Kluyveromyces lactis: one gene and its partner. The protein of the gene in region 2 interacts with the protein of the main gene of each other region in a biochemical or structural test. Links are inferred from orthologs where the notes say so. Each region holds a gene or a part of one and is shown on either strand. Other genes may lie near its edges. The genes, in order: IST3 and BUD13.

Region 1 (11,757 bases), on a different chromosome or scaffold from region 2:
TTTATTCAATGTCAGTTAACAAGCCAAATAATCTAAAATATGTAATGAATAAACAAAGTAAATCAAATTGTCCGATGAGGCTGAGACTCTATCTGCACTCAAAACAAGAAAGAAATCCGAGAGACTATGCTTGTGGCCCTGAAGCGATGAAATTTCGTTGGAGAAGGATATTTAGCATCAAGGTGCTTGGGATTGTAACTACGTTGCTGTTTATATCTTTTCTATTACCAAGCGGAGCAGTACCAAATTCAACTGTTCCACATTTTGAAGGTAAAAGAGCACTAATTTACTCTCCATTTTATAGACTCGCAAGCTCGCTTAACCTCGGAAAATGGCTTTCGTTGGCTCTACATGCTACTAATAAGTATCATAAGATTGGTTTGGACTGGCCAACGCTACCCCTAGAGCAGAAATGCCGTTTTTATTTCGAATCAACATTGGAAATAAACCCAACATGGAATAATGATCATATTAAAGACTTCCATAACGACAATAATTTGGATGACCCCTTGGCAGAGCTTATGTTAGAACGGATAAGGATGTATGATTCTTGTTTCATCAGTGGAGGTTTATCCACATCCAAGGTGTTCAAGAGATCAGTCGTGAAGCCAAACGATCTTGAATCGAGATTATTCCCTTTCCTCTCAAAGAAGACACCATTCAGACATTTGTGGCCTAAAATGATACATGTCAATCCTTGGACGTTGATTCCTTCTTTTAGTAACCCATTGTTAGAAGGTAAAGACACCTGGAAAATGGATGATAATTATTCATTCTTCTATAATTGGAATAATTTTGCAGAGGGGAAGGGAATTGTACTGACATTGGGGCTGAGGCACGGTGACCAGTTCAAGAAGTTACTTCTCACTTTGGAGAATTTAAATAATACACTTCCAATACAAGTTATTCACAACGGATCTGAGCTTACTGAAGCCTTCATTTACGACATTCATTCATTCTTAAACGCAAAAAAATTATCACAGCAGGTTTATTTTGTCAATATTGAACCGTTAATCGATGCTTCATTCGTTGGTCAATACGTCCATTATTTCATAAATAAATGGATGGCATTATTGTTCAATACCTTTTCTGAATGTATTCTACTGGATGCGGACTCTGTGTCATTTGCCAGTCTTGAATCCTATTTTGATTTCAAAGGTTATCAGGACACTGGCATGCTGTTATTCAGAGACAGAAATATTATAGGCGAGAAAACTTTTATTTATTGTACAGATACATTAAAGAAGCTTTTCCCGTCTGTAGAAGAAACCCATTTCATGAGCCATAGATCTACTTTCCCCCTCGAACTTGTGGAGAATGATAATATCAATATCGATACTCTATCTATGGAAGAGCAGATATACTATAAGTTCTTCCATAACTTACAACTACATCACATAGATAGTGGATTAGTTGTAGTTGATCGAGTTAAAAAATTATCTAGTCTACTCATCTCAACTATGATGAATATCGATGGTAAGCTTCAAAGATGCGTTTACGGCGATAAAGAAATATTTTGGCTTGGCCAATTGCTCGCCGGAGAGAAATATTCTATATACCCAACTGAAGGTTCCATCATGGGTACCGTTAAAAACAAGCCTGATGATACTTTTGAAATATGTGGCACCCAAATGGCTCACGTCAGCACAGAAGGTACTTTACTATGGTCCAACGGTGGGTTGAAGAAGTGTAAGGTACAAGACTGTGCCGTGGCTGATTTCGACCACGACCCTGACTATTTCCAAGAGAAATACGGCAACCCTGTTGCCTTACAGCAAATGTATGATTCTTCATTATCTATCAGTGGTTATATCACGCCGAATGTTGGGCAATATCCCTGGGAAAAAATCAAGGAGTGTCATCAGTACACTTATTGTGCCACAGCAAAAGAAAACGTAGGAACCATAGTCAAATTCGATACCGATACTATTTCACGTTTACAATCTGTTTCGGATATCTGGAATTCAAACGTCAAACTTGATGATAACATGGAAATATAGTAGTGTCTTCATCTCCAACGCCATTAACTTGATCTTTTTTTTTCCTGTTCTTACCAACCCCCCTGGCCTTTTGATATTTTGATCATAGTGTAACTGTCATGGTGTAGTAGAGGTATTCATTAAAACACTTCCTCTGTCACCATCCTGTACTTACGTAGTTTAACTTAAACTTTTAAACAGATGTCTAAAGTGACATCAGCCGTATTATGTACCCTATACCCGCACAACTTGCTCCAGAATCATGCGAAGATAGCTCACGAAGTTTCCCCGAGGTGTAATCTGCTTTATAGACGCAGTATCACTCTCGGACTCGAGTGTTCTTGTAGTATCCGTCCACTGACACTGACGCTTCGATATTCTTCGTATTTTGTGATCATCGAATAGGAGACTTTGACGAAATTCTTGGTTGAAATGATTCCCCATTCAAAGGGTTTAAAGACAACTTTGATCTTGATTTAGGAGGTGCGAATCGCAGTATTGCTCAGCGAGTTCAAGGGTCAACCAACCATTTACTAATTGCTATGTACAACCAGTACCAGCAGCAGCCCCAGCAGCCGCAGCAATTTGGTGGGCAACAGCAATTCAATGCCCAACCTCAGTCAACTGGTTATGGGAATTTTTATCAACAACAGGTCCCTACTCAGGGCCAGCAGCAGCAATTCAGTGGATTTCAAACCTTTAGCAACGCTGGCGCTTTGAATCAACAGCCTACAGGTTTCAGTCAACAAACACAGGCGCAGCCACAACAGCCACAGCAACAACAACCACAATCACAACCACAACAAGGCATGCAACAACCATTCGGTAATCAGCAACAACAAATGCCACTGACCCAACAATTGACGGGATTCAATTCTATGATGCCGCAAACATCCTTTGGTCAGCCTCAACAACAAATGCCAATGAACACGTCTTTCAATCAAGGGATGAGCACTACTGCTGTCAATGCACCAACAGGTCCGTTACAGCCTCAACAGACTGGCTTCTATTCTCAGCAGCAGCCTTTGGAACCTTTGAAGCCAACCGCCACCGGTTTCATCAATTCCTTCGCGAATACTGGTGTTGACAACACTTTGAAGATTCCTGCCATTAGATTGTCTTTCATTACCACTCAGGATCAGGCCAAATTTGAGAAGTTGTTTAGATCGGTTGTCACTCCTGGTTCCAACACTATAACTGGTGACCAGTGCAGAAATATCTTGGTCAAATCTGGCTTACAGCCTCATCAATTGGCCAAAATTTGGACTCTCTCAGATACTAATAAGGCTGGTGTGCTTCTCTTCCCAGAATTTGCATTGGCAATGTATCTAGTCAATTCTGTATTGCAAGGTGATTCCATTCCTTATGAGTTGGATTCGAGAACCAAGGCGGAGGTTTCCAGTTTTGTTGATGCTATTAACTTCAGTGTTTCGAATGATTCGGAAGTCGAACAAAAACCTAAGACACCGTTCGATGACTTGACTGCTGGAATATCAATGATGCAACCCCAGCCTACTGGCTATATGCCACAGCTATCGTTCGGAAGTCAGCCTCAGCAGATGCAGCAACAACAACAACAACAACAACAACAACCGCAGCAACAAAGTTTCCAGGGTTTGACTCAGCAACCAACTGGTGGGTATGGAGCAGCACCTCAGACTTCTTTTGGTAACACTTCCCAAGCTTTACAACCACAATCCACGGGTTTCATGCCTCAAAATTCCTTCAATCAACCGTTGAACGCTCAAACCACTGGTGGATTTAGCTCTGTTTTGAACATACCACCACCAGGGTCAATGCCGCAAACATCTTTCACACAGCAAGCTCCAATGCAGACAAGTTTGGCTACTGGAGGTGGATTTTTGCAACCACAAGCTACTGGATACTTACCTCCATCCAATTTTCAAGCAACTGCGCCACTTCAAGCTCAGAAGACAGGATTTGGTAACAACGATCTTTACACTTCAGCTAATCTTGCTTCTAAGTTCATTGCAAGAAAGGAAGAGGCCATCACTCCAGAAGAAAAATCATTGTTTTACAAGATTTTTGAGACTTATGATGTTGAGAAAACAGGGAACCTTGACTCTGCAACTGCTGTTGAAATTTTCCGTAAATCTGGTTTGAACAGGTCAGACCTAGAACATATCTGGAATCTATGTGATACAAACAATAGTGGTAACTTGAACAAACAAGAATTCGCACTTGGTATGCATCTAGTTTATCGCAGGTTGAACGGTGAGGTTCTACCAAATACGTTGCCTCCAAGTCTAATTCCATCCTCGACAAAGATTTTAAACACAGTCAAAGATCAATTGAAACAAGGTGTTGATAAAAATAATAGACAGCCAACTAAGGAAGATGGTTTGAGATTTAGAAACAACGATGACGAATTACTGCCAAGTTCGAGAAATCGTAGAAAGACAATCGATCAGTCTAAGAAGGTTAATGAGAATAAGGAGAAGATTGAAAACTTAAAGAACTTAATTAGGGAAAAGAAGGAATTGCTTGCCTCGGAAAAATTAAGATTGGAAAATGACTCGCAAAGAAAGCAGTCTGAAAATGCTGATCTATTACGGTCAATTGAAAATTTGAAATCTCAAATTCAAGCGTTGCCCTCAACCTCAAAAAAATCACCTTCTGCAAACAATGCTGTGCCACATGATTTACAATCCAGATTTGATACTTTGACAGCCAGAATTCCAAACCTTTTTAAAGAAATTTCTGATGTGAGCAAAGAATTGGTTTCAAGTCAGTTGGCATTGCACCACTTGAAGGTAGATCATCCAATCCGTGGTAGTGGCCCAAACTGTAAAATCACTGAGTTAGACTGTAAGAATGCAAGGCAAAGACTGACCCTGACTGCAGGAATGTGTACTTTAGTCGGTAGACCTGAACCAAATTACGATAATTTGGAGGCACAAGCACAACATTTCAACGAAGGAATTGAAACTATCGAAAAAGATGATCAAAAGAACCAATCTGCCATCAATAACATCAGTACCTGGATTCAAGAGATCTCTTCTTCGGTGCAAGCTATAATTCACGGAAGAACTCCTTCAATGGGCCTCGAAATGGATAAATGGGAATCTGGTATCGGTCTAGAACCAGAAGTCAGAGACTTTATCATATCTTGGAAAAACAGAAGAAACTTCGATAATTCTTCTTACAATACCGCAGGATACTCCAACGGTATTCAAATCTCTTCTTCAGCAACCTATAGAAACAACGCTCGTGCGCCTGAAGAAAAAGACTCGTACTCAAGTTTCCAAACACCTGAAGAAAGATCTGCATATGTCAAAGAACAAGCTAAAAAGAAGATGGAAGAAAAATTGGCAGCATTAGGAATCAAAAAGAAATCAGGGAGTTCACAATCATCACCTAATCCTCCACAATTGACTCAGCAACAACAGCCTCAACAGCAGCAGCAGCAGCAGCAGCAGCAGCAGCAACAGCAGCAACAGCAACCTAACTATTACCAACAACCCAGTCAACCTGCTGCTGCGGTAAACAACTCCAATCTACCAAAAGCTAACGACGATGATGATGAAGATGAGGAGGACGAGGAGGAGAGAAGATTGTTAGAACAATTAGAAAAACTGAAACTGAAGAAAAAACAAGAAAAAGAAGCTAGATTAGCAGCCAAGCGTCAAACCAGCTCATCACCAGCAGAAACTAAGAATGATAACGGTCATGACTCCTGGGATGATGAACCTACACCAACAAACCCTACTGGAAACCAATCACAAGCCGGATCACATCACCAATATAATCCATTTGGCAAGAGTGAAGCAACACAGCAAAAACCCGCCTCTGGTGCTGGTACCCCACAATTGAATAACACTCCAACTGGTGGCAGAAATCCATTTTTCAAGCAAGCTCCTTCACAATCATCTTCGTTTGATCTGAAGGCAGCTGAACAGCAGAGAAGGGTTCAACGAGGCTTGGATGACAGTGACGGATGGTCAGATGATGACGAAACAGAGAAGGTAAATACTACAGCCAACAAAGCTGTTGATGTCAGTAGTACCGCTGTTCCTGCTACATCTACCGCGTCCGTTCCTGTGGCACCATCTCTCCCACAGATTTCTGCAACCACTCAAGAACAATCGTCTGTCGCTGTTCCTATTGCACCACCTTTGCCTTTAGTTAAAAGCGAATCATCCCTGATCCCACCTCCACCTCCATTGCCTACGTCGATTACTGAAGGGTCTGGTGCCCCACCAGTACCTATCGCCCCACCATTGCCTCAAATAAACAGTGACGTAGCACCTGCTGTTCCTGTGGCAGCTCCTTTACTAAAAGTAGGAGGAACTGCAACTTTAGCAGAGAACGAAGAACCAAAGCCGGATGATGCATCCGACGTACTATCTATCCCAGAGTCGGTGGCCTCTGATGAGGAAGATAAGTTCCATACACCAGGTGCTGAAGATGTATCTGTCGCACCTACTGGCGCAATCCCTCCCGCTCCTCCCGCTCCTCCAGTGCCGGTCATCCCTCCACCACCACCGATGCCATAAGTTATATGCTCTCGCGTCCGTAAATTCATGTATCTAAATTATTGAAAAGTAGTTACAGGATATGTACATAAATATCATTTGAAACTAAAAGTCTACGTTGTCATAAAAGAACTGCTCCGTACTTGTTCCTTTAGGAATGTGAATTTCATTTCTTCAGAAACGCAGCCATTGGATCAGCAAACTCATCCAACGGGTCAGCCACCGATTCTTGCTTCATGGGTTCACTCGGTACGTCTCCTGTTTTTGCGAAATCCTTCTCCAACTCTTGTCTTACAGCTTCCTCGTACTCAGCTTCATCGGATCTTGGCCTATAAAAAGCATGATCTACTCGTATCAGTCTTCCACAAACCTTGGCTCCATTTAGGTTATCCACCGCAAGTATAGTCGATCTTTGATCTTCATACTTGAGAAACCCGAACCCTTTAGATTTTCCAGTTGTCTGGTCGCGTACAAGTTTGATGTCCACAGGACAGCCGTACTGGGAGAATATGGTGAGAATATCAGCTTCTGTCAATTCGAGGTGCATCCCTCCAAAGTTTATGTAGGCCTGATCTTTATACTCATGATGCCATGAGCTTTCTGGCTTTAGAATCCCACATTCCAACTCCCTTTCACTAAGTTTCTGTATCGACCTTATCTGATTCATAATTGATAATCGTATTGGATCTTCACTTCCAAATATTCACAGTTGAACCAGCCTCCCAATGACCGCAAAGTACCAGCTCTATTGGTTATTCCTTATCCTTTCTATCAGAAAATTGCAGCTCCTTTTCGGTAACCGTCAAATTCTTCTCCGGTTCCTCCATTCGTGCGTAACACCTTCAATTGTCTTCTTGTTCTTATATAAACGAACTTTCAAGAAACTTATTCAAATCTTTAACACCTTTAAATTATCAACACTTTTCCATCGCTCGAAAGAAGTTAAATCCAGAGTTTATGCACTACCGGGATCGCTGCTGAATTATAATTCCCACACGCAGAATGTCAGAGTATCTTGCAAGGTTGAGACATTTCACTACTTGTGACATCTCAGATGGGCTATTGAATTTGTATGGAATCACTAATGGTGGATATTTCCCTAATTTGGTGAGAAGGTCAGGGTCTGGGACTATCGTGGGTAGGGCTTTTCCTGTGTTGTTCGGGCATAAAAATGCTACCCAAGATAAACCCAGTGTCAATTACATCGATAATGTGCCAGCAGAATCTATCGTAACCATCGGTATGACTGAAGATTTACAATTGAGCAGTGCTCCATATACCAAACCTATTCAGGGCATGTACGGTGGATTAATGTCTACAAGAGCAAAATATTTAGGCAGCCATGGTACGGTTGTATTTGGTAGAATCAGAGATATCGAAGAGCATAAGGCATTGGATCACAGCGTTTTCAGTTACGGTATCGGTACCTGTGCTCCAAAAGCAGTTTTGAAACCGATTTCGTATAACTGTGAGTTGAAGATTAAGATTAGCGATGGCACTACGGAGACAATTAATCCCGGCGATTATTTGGTATGTGATGATCATGGAATGGTTCGTATTCCAACTGCCGCCGTCGACTTAGATAAGTTGATCACATATATAGAAAAGTCTATCGAAGCCGATGACCTTGTTTCTCAAGACATAAAGGAGGGAAAACCTGCTGCTCAGTCTCAATCAGAACGTAGAGCAATTCTTAAACAATATTTGTAATTTACAGCCCTCCCCCGTTGATCGTCAGGAGTTGCAATATTCGGTTGCGTAGTCGAAAGTTTATCGCTATGTTAAATTAATATTATTGTCAATTAAGTAGCAAGCTATGTATGTATATATGAACATGATGCAGAAATAAAGAATGAAAAAACAAGAATTGGCAAGTGTTTATGCTATTATTAGGTAGGAAGCACTCGGTTTGAGAATATTTTGTATTCACTGTTTATTGGCAGTGCTGCTAGTGTGATGCTTATGACCCTTTTTCTTGCTTGCTTCCGCCACGAGCTCTTCAAACACTTGGGCATCCTCTTGTTCTGTTTTCGTCCGGTATGCCCTTCTGAAAACTTTCCCAAGTCTTTTCAAAGCCTCAGCTCTTCTTATCCTTGTTGACATCTCGGCGGTCTCATCTTCTAGAACTTTATCACATACGCTTCTTAAAGTTGACATGATCTCGAATTTTGAGCCGTACCATGCGGCTGAAAGGACTTTACCCATTAATAACTGCTCCAATTGTGCTAACTCTTCCACAGTTGGTTTTTCAACAACGTTTCCAGCTTCATCCTTTAGTGGTTCCTCCGAGTTCGCAGTTTCCTTTAATTTCTCCAACTCAGTCATGGTAGATTGAGCATCTAAGGCTGCAGAAACGGTCCGTACGGTATCCATCACTAAGCCACCTTTAGCCTTTACTGAATGGTAAAAACCTCCAAAACCCCATAAATATTGTGATTTCAAGAATATGTTCGCCTTTTCACAATAGATTTCACCTATTGTATGCAAGATATCTAATCCAAACGATTCCATCTTCAACATGTTCGCCTCTTCTTCGAATTTTTTATCAAATGACTCCTTGCAAGCATCATCGTATGCACTTTCCGTTAGTATGGACAAACGGTCCGATAACGTCTTACTGAGCTCTTCTATACTCTTCTCTTTATCTAACATTTGCTGCTCTTCGAACTCTTCTAGCTTACCCTTTTTCTTAGTCTCGGGATTGGACGAATCATCGCCTCCTGATGTTAGCTTCTTGGCAGTTCCATTATTAGTGCTATCCTCAGCAGATTTAGTGTCATCATCACCATTAGATGCATTGTTATTATTATTCAAATTATGAGCTTGCTGAGTGGCCTTTTCACTTGCTTCTTGTTCCTTTGCTCTTTCGTCCTCTTCACTTAACTCTTGTGTGTTTTGAATATTCTTCAACAACGTTAATTCCCCAATATAAGACGTAAATGCCTCACCACCGAATATCGCAGCAAACTGTTCACCTGCATCCTCGAAGCCATTCTTAGGCATAGCTTCTTCTTTACCGAACTTATCGTACTTCATACGTAACTCCTCGCTACTCAAGACTTGATAAGCTTCAGAAATAGCTTGAAATCTTTCAGTTGCTGTGGGATCATCGGGATTTTTGTCTGGATGCTCCTTCACTGATTTTTTTCTGTACGCTTTCTTGATATCAATCTGTTTGGCATCCGTAGCTACGCCTAGCAAGTCATAATATGTCGTGTCTACCACCATTCTTTTACTATAGATCCTAAATGCTCTTCTTTCTAGACCGTTTACCTCAGTTATAGCACCAAACCAAAAGCTCCAAACACTCTTAGATATACGAATGTACCTTTCAAAAGCCTGAAACGTTGCTCGAGTGATAATATGTGCTCTTCAACAACGCTGTCAACTCATCAATGACTACTAAAATCATTATGTATCGCCTTGTTGGTGCATTTGATATTGATATCGAGTTTTATCTGGGTCGAGTAATAAAGTGCGGGTAACTTTTAATAGGTATATTCAAAGATACAAGAACTCCCCTGTATCGGCACCAGGGTATACCTGCTAGACGTTATCTATGGACTTAGCTACTAGATGTTAGTGTTACTTTTCAAATGTATGAGTATTTAGTTCAAGCTGTGGGAGTTTCTACTTCGGTATCTTCATCATAAGTTTCAGCGATAAAAGCCGTAGGATTCGATTCTTCCGTATCCAAAGCGATTTCTTCTGCTTCAGGCTCTGCTTCAGGCGCTGCTTCTGCTTCCTCATGTACTTCTTCTTCATGTTCCACATTCTGTGCAATGGACGGATCTGAAGTATGCTGTATTTCAGACTCATCGCTGTTTCCAGACTCAGAAATTATTTGCAGAGGTTCTTCTGGTGAGGCTTCGTTCAGATCTTCTGCTTCAACATCTTCAAGGCCAGCTGGTTCAGATGGCGCAATTGCTTCCCCTGCAGTCAATTCTGCCTCCATTGGTTGATCATCAGCCCGTTCCGGCAAGTCGGGCTTGAAAGATATAGTCCATGCCTTTACGACAGATATATTAGACGTGGATTTCGTTTCCACTTTTTCAATTGAGGCAACAGTTTTTGGTAGACGTTTATGTGGTCCTCTGGTCTTCTTAGAACGGGCTGGGACCTTAGGTAATTCAGCCTCATCTTTTGTATTCTTAGTTTCAACTTCAGCGCCAGTTTCGGCATCATCTGACGATGTGGAAACACCTAATCTTTTAGCTAAAGCTGGGGTCAGTTGCGCCATTCCAGGTAGAGCAATCATCCCATTCAAATTCTGAGCAAATTGAGCTCTGTTTCCGGAGAATCCACCAGTCTTAGGAGCAGCTGGCTCCTTAGGGCTAGGAGTGTGTTCCGGTTGGAGTTGTTGATTTTGGAACATTTGTTGGAAAGCTGCAATCTTAGAGGAAGGTTTCTTTGGTACAGGTGGAGATTTTCCTTGTTTCTTCTTTTGAGTAGCTGGAGAGCCTTCTTTTGGTGACGTGTTACTTGGGATCGCCTCTTTAGATGAAACATTGCCCGGGGTCACCTCTTTGAATAAAGGCTTGGCATTTACCGAGGAATCCTCTGGAGTTTCCTCTGATGTTGCTTCTGAGGTTTCCTTTTGTTCTTCCTTGGGTGCCTCCTTGGCACCTTCGGTGAGATTCGCAGTGGATGACAACTGGTCAACACTAACTTGCGTTTTCTCTGGAGGTACCTCTGGAGATGCCTCTGGAGATACCTCTGAAGATTCTTCTCGAGCTGCCTCTACAACTGCCTCTGAAGCATCCTCGGGTGTTTCCTTGGGTTCTTCAGCAATGTCTGCCTCAGACTCTTCACACACGGAGGGCACAATCGCTTCCGCAAGTGTCTTATCGTCCGTTTGAATAATTGGCTCTTCCTTAACTGGTTTTTCAAGCTCCTCGTCTTGAATCGCTTCATCACCGATTAGTTCCGGAGATGCAACTTCTTTGCACTCCTCTTCTACTGGCTCATCCGCAAAATCGTCAATAATCTGCTCTTCTAGAGATTCCTTGATCGTGGATTCCTCCGGTAATAACTCCCCAGATGGTTCTACTTCTTGTGTTACAGGCTCGTCCAGTTCTACCTCGTCTAAAACTGGTTGTTCTACAGGTAGTTTCGCTTCCAGTTCGTCAACAATCGGATGTTCTACGGTGGGTTCAGTTTCAATAACGGCCTCTGGCTGCAATTGAGCCTGAATTTGTGGCTCTGGCTTCACTGAAACATCATCTGAACTAGCGTGTGCACTGCTACTCGCCAGAGGTTTCCTATTAGGTCTGGTTTTTGGC
Region 2 (12,094 bases):
AGAGATAGAGCAAAGAATTACAGAATTACAGGGAGTTTCTGCATCCATCCGTTTCGTTGAACTTCAAGAAATAGTAGGTGTCCGAAATGTGTAAGGCTCTTTGATGAAATTCAGTTTGTTGATGTTTTTGGAACATGAATCATTTAACGTGTTTTTCGCAGCACGTGATTTTAGACGAAATGACATAAATTGTTCATTAAAATATTAAATGGTCGTTATAGATCTAGCTAATACGTCCTTTTATCTGGTGAATATCTTCAATTCGTTTTCATTCCAAGTGAAATTGCCATCGTCAACGATGTCATTCAATTTGGAGTTCCTGAAGTAAAATTCTCTTTCAGATATAGGCACTAAATTATTCGTAGCTTCGAGAAACCGTGTTTTTGTTTTCTGATAAAGCAATTTCCTCGACTCCTCTTTGTCGTCCAATCTTTCTTGGGTGGTTGGGAAGTTAAGCCTTCCATATCCAGGAGGAGATTTTGATCTAACACGTAGATTATCGAAGGAATCGTCAGGAAACTGAAGGTCGGGAACTTTTGACCTGTCTGACACACTAGTTTCGTCGACAGTTTCGAGTAACCCGGTACTGTTTAGTACAACGTTTTGTTTACTTTTCAGTGGTGATCCAGCTTGAGCGTGAAAACGAGCTACTTTATTGGATTTCTTGCATCCCCTTCCTCGATTTTTTGAGGACACTAGTTCATTGATCTTGAAATCTTCATAGATCCAAGGTTTCTTCGTAATTGGATTTATGGAGAAATCAACCGAGATTTTACCCCTTTTAATATTCTCCTTCTCATTGTTCCTATTAGCTTGTGGCATAGTAGTTGCATTTATTGGTGACCTACCACGTTTAGATTTTGCTATGACACTCTGATGTGAATGTTGTATGTTGATATCATTCTCCTTCAAGATGTCTGACGCTTGGGAATCAAGGATAATCTCGTTTTCTTTCAAAGGGGAACTCATCAGCTCTAAATCACGTTGTAGTCCTTGATTACGTTCTCTTGCCAATGGTTCAGCGTGTTCTTGTTCAATAGTACTTTTCACAGTCGCGTTTTTCTTCACATGTATTGGATCAAACTGAGTAGACGGGAGGTCATCATAGCTGCTAAGACCGTCCTTCATGTATTCATCCAAGTCATCTTGAATATTCTGTCCCTGTGGCTGAATTATTTCGACGTACCGTCGATCCATTTCCGATACTAATTGTTTTTGTAAAGAAAGTAACTGAGACCATTCTAATCGATGTAGCCATGCCTCTAGGCTTTCCTCTGATTCTTGACTCATCGCAGTAAAGATTCTTGCCAAGCAGAATCCTGAGAACTCAATATGTGTCCACAGTAAGGGTCTAACAAACTAGCTACAGTACAAAGTGGTGACGCGAAACCTTAGCTCTTTATCGAACTAACAGTTACATTGTTGATATTTTATGCTTTTTTCTGGAAAAGAAAACCTTATTTTGATTTCAGATTAAGGCTAACATGGCTATAGAGCTCCCCAACAGAAGCAGATTCTCAGATGTTTACATAGCTGTAGAGCTTATCACAGCATTTAGGGTGGGTAGAATTGCAAACCGACCCAATTAATATAATGTCACTTAACGATTTTTTGGCGAAGTCTTACGGCTCAAAGCACGGTAAAGAGAAGACGAAAAAGTCTAAGGATAAGTCATCACACAGAAAGAGCGATGAGTCTAAAAGAGTCACATCAAGAAATATTGATATTATTGACAAGGCTAATCTTATTACTGAAGAAAACAAGAAGGCTGCAAGCTCAAATAAAACAGGAAAGTCTCTTTGGAAAAACCTTGAAACTGAAAAGTTGGAACTTGTACAACACGTTGATGTCGACAAAAAGGACGATAGTAAGGAAAGGATGTCGTCAGGCGCCTTTGCTGGGTTACAGACAGCAGAAGAGATGGAAAAGCAGATCGCAGAAAAGGAAAAACTTTCTATGCAAAAATCAGGGCTTCTCAAGAAGAATCAGAACACAGTATATAGAGACGAAAAAGGTAAGGTAATAGATGGATACGAAGAAGAATTGAAACTTCGAGAAAAGGCTAATTTGACAGCGAAAGTACGTAAGGAAGAAGAACTTAAAATACGAAATATAGGCGAAGTACAAATATCAAAACTTGATCGCAAAACTGAGAAAAGTGCATTATTATCAACCGAAGATCCATTGAATCAAGGAAACACCCTGCGAGGAACGAATACGTCACTGTTGGGTCGAAGGCTTTACGAGAAAAACTTTCCAGAAAATCGGTTCGGTATCGTTCCCGGTTATAGATGGGATGGAGTTGATAGATCAAATGGGTTTGAAACTAAGTGGTTTGCTAAGAGTCACGATATCGCTGATCAAAAAATAAAGGAACAAACAACAAACCGGGAATTTTGAAAAGTTGAACCTGAAAGTGTCTCTATTCTTATATACTAAGCATTATTTACTGAAGTGATATAATATTTACTGTTAATAGTCCATTCAAACCAACATTCAGGTTTCAGTTTTTTTAGGAGAATTTTTGAAATGACCACCCCTCCCGGAGGCACCACGACCACGATTACTACGGCCACGACGACCGCCACGAGAATGAGAAGATCTCTTTGTATCATCTGAGTCTTTATTCTCCACATTTGCTGTACGTCCATTCTCATCTCTAATTAGGAGATTCTTAAGATTCCTGGATGCCTCTTTATCTAATGGTGGATTTTGTACAGGTTGTGACTGAGGAGGAGCTGCATAAGCAATATGCTCATTATTCGGAATGAAAGGCGGCTGCATCATAAGAGGATGAGGAATACCACCAGGAACCATATGTGGGGGAACAGTGAAATTGTAAGGCAGAGAATTTGCTGGAGGTGGTTGAATTTGCTGTTGAGAACCTGGTTTGATTTGGTTCAAGACGGCATTGAACACGTTGTTAGCAGCCGAAGGATTTAAAGTGTTAACTGCTATTTGCGGAGCGGATCCAGATTCGGTATTTGATTCCGCGTTATCCTTCTTGATATGATTTAACAACTCATGGGCTTGCTTTTTTTTGAGTTCCTCCACTCTCTTCTTTTTTGCGAGGGCGACTTGCTTATCATTAGGAACTGCTTTTGGTTTCTTATCAGCACTCTTCGATGCCTTTGAATGATATACCAATTGTCTATCAGACAAGTTTAATAAGAAGGAAGAGTCCAATCCCAAACCACGTCTGGTCTGCAACCTACCACCAAAGTTGTTTCCTGCAATTATTTCATTGTCAAATAGAACTTGGATTGAGACGTTCTTGCCAATTGAAGTGTAGCCAACGACAGTACCTTTGCTGTGAAGTGGAACCTTGCCTGAATCTTGAATGTACATTACCCTATCACCTAAGTGGAACCTTTGGGAGCGCAATAGAACATATGACGATTCCGCATTTAAGATTGCCTCACGTGGGACCTTAGCTAATTTCTTCTGCTCGCTTGAATCTGGTAAAGAAACGTATTTTATGATTTCAGATTCAACAGCTGCCATCGAAGCCTTGGTTAGCGAATCACTTTCCAAAGACACCACCACGAATGGTTTTCTTGCTTCTGAGAGCCAATCAGCCACTGTTTTCAAAATGGAATCAGCTTCCGCGCTAGATTTGTTAGGGAAGAGATCAGTGATCGATGGAATTGCTTGTTCCTTCGAGTTAGAAAGTTTCGCAAAGAACTCAGGGAATGTAGATCTGAACTGCTCTAACAAACCAAGAGCGACGTCAGAGTATTCCCATTTGTTTGAGCTGCATCTGGCATAACCGAGAACTTTTTGATTTCTTGCTTTGAATTTGATCATCAAACCGACGTTATGGCTTTTCTTTTTAGAATCATTGACCAAATATCTTGAAGTAATTTTTGACAAGAAGAGAGGGTGGACACGAGCTATTTTTGAAAACACTTGTGTTGGGTAGAATCTCAAGGCTTGAGAATCCAATTTCGCTCTAACTTTTCCGATGTTAGGCTCTGCTCTGAGAGAACCCTTTTTGACTGTAAGTTTTAATCTAGTCTCACTATTATAACCATCAACGGTCGCCTCCCCACCATACGCATAATCACCTAAAAACACAACTTTTGAACCTTTTGGAAATTCTTTATTAATTGGTAACGGCTCTTTTTCAATATATCTTTCGTCCTTATTTTTTACGTCCTCTACGATTAATTGTAAAGGATAGTATTCGATAGTTTCATTGAAAGACTTAGAATAGGAACCATCAGAGTTTCTCACCAATCCATTTACTGGAACCACTTTAGCCAAAGCAGAAATGTCATCCAAAAGAATGGCCTTTGTCCTTTGATAATTCGATTTGAGAGTCATCTTCAACTCTCTAAATTCTTTCCTTTCAAAATCCTGAGGCTTTCTTTCAATGACCTTTGTTAATTTGCCTGACTTAACTCCTTCATACACAGTTTCCTCTGTAATCAACGACAAAAGTTTAGATTCTCTTAGAAACGGCCATCTTGAATAAACAATCTTACCCATATGTCTTTTTGCTAGATCTGACAGAGAGATGCCATTTTCCTTGTAAAGGTCCTGAATATGCAACACCATAGATTGTTGTTTAGAAGGGAAATTGAAGACAACAGAAGAATTATAAGCAAGCTCTGCAGTTAGTGGTAGTGTCTTTAGGGATGGGAAACCGGCCAAAGAGCTAGCTCCGAGTTTAGCGCCCTTTGGCAAACCAAATAAGAACTTAACGTTTTCCATCGATTCTGGAATGAATTCCCTTTCGATACAATGATTGTGTTCAATATCATTAAACAACCCCGCTAGTGGTGTTTTGTAAACTGTGTCTACCTGAGGATTGAATATGAAAATCAGATCAGTTCCGAACGAATTTCTTTTCTTTTCATCCGGAGAAAGCTTAGCATCATAAGGAGCCATTGCTTCTACTAAACGCTTTTGATCCACGAATGAAATTTTGACGACAGCTTCCCAGTCTGCTGTTTTGCCATTTAGATCCAACTCTACTTCGTTAGGATAGAAGTCCAAGATAGGAGAGTGTTCATCATACATGAGTGGTCTGTACACAACTGGAATCAAATTCTTTGATCTCTCAGGCAAGACGGCCATCAATTGTTGGAAGGGCTTGAAAGGCTGTCCCTTGTGAAATTCTATGTTCTGATCTATACCTTTGATCACATCTGATATACGAGGAGCGTAATGATATCTGTAATACCAGGACCAAGATGGACATCCACGATAATAGTAGTATAAAACCCATTGTAAACCTCCGACATAGTTTTCTGTCATTTCTTTTAGACTATCAGTATCATTGATGGAAAAATCTAATTTATCTTTATAGTATTGATCTTTCCACTCAACGAATCTCTCGCTATAAATTTCACGCTCTTCTTCTAATTCTTCTTCAGATGCAATAATAATACCTTGTTCATATTTCTTAATAGAACGTCTTGTTTCGTGAATACGGGCTTCATGCTCTTCATCTGTTTCTTGCACATTGATGGAGTCTAAATCCAACTTGAAGTAGTACAAATCTTTTGATTTAGAATGAGCAAGAATTAAACCCAAATCAAATGCGAATTCCTTCAAGAAATCCAGGTTGGCCCGAACCAATTCTTTATCCTCAAGAGGGAAAATTTCGAAATCGGCATCCTGTAATTCAGAAGTGACCTTCCGTTGAACGGTTTTCAATAACCATGGTTTTACGGCGCCAATCAATTTCTTTTGTTGTTTCATCAACAACTTTTTACCCATCCTAGTACGTTTACGCTCACCTTCCAAGGAAATATTTTCAAGTTGTTGATTGAACCATTCAACGTCAATATCTTTCTTCTCAAAGTTAAGGTATTCAAAATCGGACAAGTACTTCAACCAAATGGAAAATCTTGCCAAATTTATCTTACCTTGTTCATTAATGTAACCATCCATATGTTGGAGAGCTTCTTTAAAAGTTTGTAATAGCACAGGGAATGCACCTTTTTTCAAATGCAAATCGGGCAAATTTGGTAAGAAATCATTACCGATGGTAAATAATACAAAGATGAAATCATCTAATACTCTTTCAAAGTCGTATTCAAACTGCACAGAATCTGTTATTTCTTCGAACTCTAATGCCAAATATTCTCTCAAGATAGACAAATGCAACAAGAAGAAGTTCTGTGTTTCTAGAGTTTTCACAGAAGACGAACGTTTACCAAAAGTAACTTCTTCTCTTAATAAACAAAAGTGGTGATCATGGGTGGATAAACCTAGGATGATCAAATCAGCATCTAACCCGTAGATACAATGTCTTGTATTTGGATTGTAATCCTCTTGTGCTCTAATTGCTCTGATGTAATCCATGATCTTATGTTCACCTTCACCAGGAACCTCATGCCCGGAGAAAATAACCTTCACGTTCTGCCATCTGGTATCGTTGGTGATCTTGTCATGGATGAAATATTTCAAATTCTCGGTTAATTTTGCCATAAATTCTGTTCCTGGGGTAATAGCGTTGGAATCAAATGGCTCTCCCTTAGGCAACTCGTCACCATTTTCAATGGCCTTCTGCAAAGCCTTTTCGGCATCCATGGCAGTTCTGAATCTACGAGCTCTTTGTTGGTTCATCTTTGCTCTTGGGGCCACACCATCGATTGCCATATAAAATGTCTGTTTTGGTTTAATAGTATGGAAAAGATGATCAATATAACTGAAAATTTTGGAATAAACTTCTTCCTCTGATAGTCTTGAATTCACCTCGCTACCATCACCATGCGTACAATTATGCAAAATAGAATTCATATCCAAGTACAAATTGTCGAACTCTGGAATCTGTGATCCATCGATCAATTGAGAAATTTGAGGCCATCTCTCAGAGATGAAATGAAAGAATTTTGGAATACCCATTTTTAGTTAAGCCACAAACCGTAATTAATTGAACACTTTCTGAGGTTTGCTTTACTGACTTTTTTCCTCCAACAATAGAAAAGATCAACAACAACTGGGATTGGATAGTACCAGTAGTATACGTTGCCGAACAATGAGTAACCACTTTTAGTGAATTGTTATAATATACCCTGATATGGATGAAAGACCCTGAAAGTACATTAACCAAAGCTACTGTTTAGTAACATAATCGTTAAGGTAATTTGGTAATTCTTTCCAATGTTCAATCGGAATATTTTTCTTGGTGGTGGCAAAATTTTTTGAGACGAGGTTTATGGGTTACCCGGATCCATAAGTTCAAGCTTTTTTTTCTTGTTTTATACTCTTTGATGGAAGAGTTGAAAACATTTTGAATATGGAAACTGAGAAAGTAAACAGATGAGGTTAAAAAGAAAGATGGAGAGAGCAGAATTGAGACACCAATTGATACTGAACAGTAAGTTGAATTAACTGAATTTACGGCGTGTAAATATCTAATACTCTTATTACTGATAGAAACGAAATGTTTGGCCGTTCTTCTTCTACAGGTCCTCCAGTAGGACCAAGCACAGGAGGAGGATTATTTGGGAATACGGGCAACCAGCAAAGCACTAGCGGTGGTCTTTTTGGTAATAACAATGCCACATCAGGTAACACTGGAGGAGGGTTATTTGGAAACAATAACAATACAGCGACACAGACTGGCGGAGGATTATTTGGCAGTAATCCAGCAGGCACCAACAACAATACGAACCAAACCGCAGGAGGACTTTTCGGAAGTTCTAATAATACAGCCACTGGCTCCACAGGTGGCCTATTTGGTAACTCAGGAGCCGGGTCTGGCGGAGGCTTATTCGGGAATAAGTCAGCACAACCACAGACCACTGGTTTTGGAAGCTCTGGAACTGGAGGAGGATTATTTGGATCCAAACCAGCACAACCACAGACTACCGGTTTCGGAGGCTCTGCAACTGGTGGAGGATTGTTTGGATCCAAACCAACTACCGGAGGCCCATTCGGAAATCAACAACAGCAATCCCAACAATCTGGTTTAGGAATGTTTGGACAAACACAAAATCAATTTCAACAGCCACCACAACAACAGATACAACAGACTCAACAGAGTGCCATTAATTTCATTAACCAATTAGCTATCACGCCGATGACCAAGATATCGGAGCTTCCGATTCAAATTCGTCAAGAAATCGAACAATTGGACCAATTCATTAGAACGCAAGTGTCTTTATCCAAACATCTTGAAGCTGATCTACAAGATCAAACTGAACTATTGGATTCAATCCCTCGTGACATCAAGTATCTACAAAAATTGCATTTCAACGCAACAAGATCACTATCATCAGATTTGAAACGAATCGATGCCATCAAGACACTAGTGGATAAAGATGTTAAACAATTGGAAAATTTTGCTATAATGTTGCAACAACTAGTCAGTAAGGGATTCAAAATATCAAACGTTGAGATAGATAAGTTCTTCCAGGAAAAATTAATCACATACAAACACAAATTAAATGACTACAACGACACTCTAAGCAATATTGACGACGCAGTGTCAGGTCTAGAGAATGATCTCTTTGGGAACGATTCATCCGAAGATGATGATACCAAGGTCGGTGTTAACATTATCGTCAGCGTTCTAATCGAAGAGTTCAAACTATTCATGGATACAGCTGAAAGAATAGCAGAACTGCATCAGAAGTGTAAAGAAATAATAGTTAAATAGTCGATATTATTCTTTTAATACTATAAAAAAAGAAAGCGTTCAAGAACATATTACCTATTGATGCAGATCACTAACTCCTGCACATGCACTGCACCTGCACCGCATCTGCCACTTGTCTCTTCGCAGTCTTCTCTTCTCAGGCTCCCTTTATCTTCCCTTCCTTATTTAGGTCAATGAGTTGTGAAAAAAGGGAATTTGATACGACAAATATAAAAGGAATAAGGATTAAAAAATGGTTAACAAGGAGTAACAGTTTTCCCGGAAACGAAAATGTGAAACAAAGAACAAAGGAAAGGCGTCCTGGTTTTGTGATTATACTCAAGAAATATATATAGGACTGATAAGAATTTTAGAACGTTGCTGGCAACTAACTATCATTATTGGAATATCAGAGACATATTAAGTGTGACATTTTAGTATTAATTCTGTCAGTATAAACTTATTGTAGATCAAGCTTCAGGCGTAAAATCAAGGAGCTAGGAGATTTTTTTTTTGATTAAAGCGAAGCGATGGCTGAAGTAAAAGATAGATGTACATCAGTGGATGGAAATGACACTTGGGGGGTCGTTGGTGGTGTGGACGGTACATATTCCATCAGGGATCTTGACGCTGGTGAAATGGACGATATTTTATCGGTGACAAGCAGCGACTTAGAGGATTCCGCAGTGTTGCAGAATAAGAAAGGGAGCGTTAATCATAGTAACAATACTACGTCGTTATCCACGCCACTGGATTCATTATCCAACGTTGCGCCTGCAAAGACAACAGCAAGGAGCAATACATGGACAGCGCGCTTGACGAAACTTCAATCCGTTATTCTTGGAATTTCGTTGGTGGCCGGTCTCATCAACATGGGCCTCTTGACCGTTTTCATCCGTGATATTAACAGTTTTACTAAAAACAACGAGTTAGAGTGTAGTTCACTAGCTTTCAAGGACAGATTGGCTTGTCAATTTGATGCATACATGGGCCATAGGGCCCATGCATACGAAGCAGCATACGTGAAGAAAACGCCACTTCCATCCACTTTAGCATCATATTACCCTAGCTTCCCTTCTCTTGAGCAATATTACGAAGTATGTCAGAAGAAGTTGAAATTTACTTATGCAGCAACTTCTAACTGGGTCAGTACAACGGTGAGGCGTGAAAACTTCGAAAGCGTTAAGGAATGGACGAAGAATGCGAAGGAAACAGCAGAAGACCGGATCACTGCTTTCTACTCGCTAACTAAACAGAGATTCGATAGCTACAAGGAGACGCAATGGCCCCGTCAACGACAATCACTATTCAAGTTCAGAGTAAATTTACAAGCTGCTATCCATAGGTACCAGAGAAAAATGAGGAAAATGTACCCACTTGAATTCCCACATTTGCGCAAGTTTTCCGTGCCTAGGATTTGGTACAAATCCTCTGATAAGCTTCGCCACCAATACCATAAAATACTTGATCTCTTAAGGGTAAGAATGTGATGTGTGATTCAGGGTAAAATTTGATATATACCATACGTAAACAGTTTTTCCAGGATATATATGTATGTGTATTTCGTTTCTAAAGTATGTCTTCATCAGGCCTACAGCACAGAGGTTCTCTCCCAGTTATGACGGAACATCTTGGGCCAGATCATGTCTATTTCCCCGTCGCATGTCCGGGTAACAGGAGGGGTAATCGTCCAAAATCAGATTTCGGGGATGCAAATGACTTTCAGACCTTTTTAAAAAACCCAGGGCGTCCCGAAATGATAACTAGCTTATCAGCCAACACGTGAATTTCCCACGTGGAACCAAATACGCCGAACATGGATCTGCGTAATGTTAATAAGGTACCTCATCTTAAGTAAAACGAAAAGGAAATTGTTAGAAAAGCACGGTCTTTATCAAGAAAAGACCGTGCATGGTGCTGCATGTGGGTTCAAGTTCACGTGGTAATGATTGGAAAGTACTGCGTACTTTGTTGGGAATTAATTTTTGTTCTCTTCCACTCGAGGGACCACGAGTCATGAGCAAGGGAAAAACGTGTTTTATATATGCCAATCATAACGGCAATCTAGTGACATTCTTGGTAGGTTTCTAGTAAACCCGCTTGGCACATGTCTGAAGCCATGTAACAGTGTATAAATATATATATATATATGCATATAAAAAGCATTTTCTTTACGGGAGTTGACCAGCGGAGGAGACGTAAAAGGCCGTGGGATAAGATCAGCACACGCTGACGCAAATAAAAAGATAACATAAAAATAAAACCAAACATAATGGATAAGAAGATGATTTTACCACTACCCAAGAGCCCAAAGGAAATGGCAGAAAATCGAGGCAGAGCGACACTAAGTTGTAACCAATTTTCGCTTCTTCCATCCATTCGTAACTTAGTAAACTACACAGACACAGACAATTTCGATGATACACCAAGGACGTTACCTCCAATAACTAAACTCTCGATAAGTCCCCCGTTGACCATTGCCGATGAGAAAAAAGTAAAAGCTGAAAATAAGATAGACACAAGTGACGCAATATTTAGGCCCAGAGCCCACTCAGACTCTTCATGCTCTTCCACAGATTCATTGTCTGAGTTAGATTTCAAACAATTGCAAGAAAAGCTACTGCACGATAGACCAGAACCCGGGTACATCCACGAATGGAACCAAAAGCAAGGACGTGGGGCTCGTTACAAGAAGAAAATACACTGTAAGAAATGCCACATTTGCGGGAAAGAATTCTCTCGTCCAAGCACTTTGAAAACACATATAGTGGTGCATTCACAGGCGAAACCGTTCAAATGTACATATCTTGATTGTAACAAGAGCTACAATGTCAAGAGCAATTTACGAAGACACGAGAAGAAACACAAGTGCCACAAGTGTTGATTTTTATCTTTAACCTTAAAGGATAATAAGCTTTTGAACTTTTTTATACAAATCGTATACTACAATATGATGCAGAATGAAATACAGGTAATTAGGATGGTATATTTTATATTTACATATTTATACATATAAAGCACACAGATATGTGCATTGGTATATGTATATTACGGTAAATAAGAGCGAAGATCTCAGTGTCACACGACACATCCGTAAATAATGATGATACATGGCCCAAAACTTGTTTTGTTTCGAGGAGGGCCCAGACCCTGTTGAACGGCCTTGGGTGTTATCATAATCATTATTGTTACCCTCCCGAGAATCTTACAGAAACATGAAATTCCAGTCACCCAGCAAAGACGTACCCACTTTATAATTACGTACCACCATCATCCGTAACCCTTGCAAAGCCGCTTCAGAAGAGAGCAGCTCGGTAGCTGAGGTTTATCGGGATCAGGTTAGGCTGGCTGCCCATGCAACTCTTGCTCGCACGCTCATAAGAAGCTAGCAAACCACGTTCTTTTTTATAGCTATATATGGACAACAACCAACGTTTAATAATCAATAACCCACGTAGCCGTATTGCATCTAACGACGTATTGTTTCTCCTCTTACTG

Evidence for each region.
Region 1: the proteins of BUD13 (region 2) and IST3 form a complex in vitro, tested with the Saccharomyces cerevisiae proteins (4 studies listed by BioGRID, with this or other methods). The link is inferred for Kluyveromyces lactis from reciprocal best matches to the Saccharomyces cerevisiae genes BUD13 and IST3.

Annotation. Positions count from the first base shown.
Region 1 is NC_006040.1:1,150,850-1,162,606, forward strand, and holds IST3 (U2 snRNP complex subunit IST3), read right to left. Parts: upstream 7,143-11,757; coding exon 6,642-7,142; downstream 1-6,641. Other genes in the region: KLLA0_D13376g (alpha-mannosyltransferase), read left to right, coding at 9-2,000; actin cytoskeleton-regulatory complex protein PAN1, read left to right, coding at 2,522-6,496; KLLA0_D13442g (bifunctional 4-hydroxy-4-methyl-2-oxoglutarate aldolase/oxaloacetate decarboxylase), read left to right, coding at 7,478-8,185; DJP1 (Djp1p), read right to left, coding at 8,402-9,703; AIM21 (Aim21p), read right to left, coding at 10,089-11,757. UniProt on the Saccharomyces cerevisiae protein: Required for pre-mRNA splicing and spliceosome assembly. As part of the pre-mRNA retention and splicing (RES) complex, required for nuclear pre-mRNA retention and efficient splicing. Required for MER1-activated splicing.
Region 2 is NC_006042.1:2,085,999-2,098,092, reverse strand, and holds BUD13 (Bud13p), read left to right. Parts: upstream 1-1,593; coding exon 1,594-2,400; downstream 2,401-12,094. Other genes in the region: ssDNA endodeoxyribonuclease SAE2, read right to left, coding at 241-1,290; chromatin-binding exonuclease XRN1, read right to left, coding at 2,497-6,858; FG-nucleoporin NUP49, read left to right, coding at 7,400-8,617; KLLA0_F22341g (uncharacterized protein), read left to right, coding at 9,127-10,086; KLLA0_F22319g (uncharacterized protein), read left to right, coding at 10,869-11,480. UniProt on the Saccharomyces cerevisiae protein: Required for efficient splicing and pre-mRNA nuclear retention. May also be involved in positioning the proximal bud pole signal.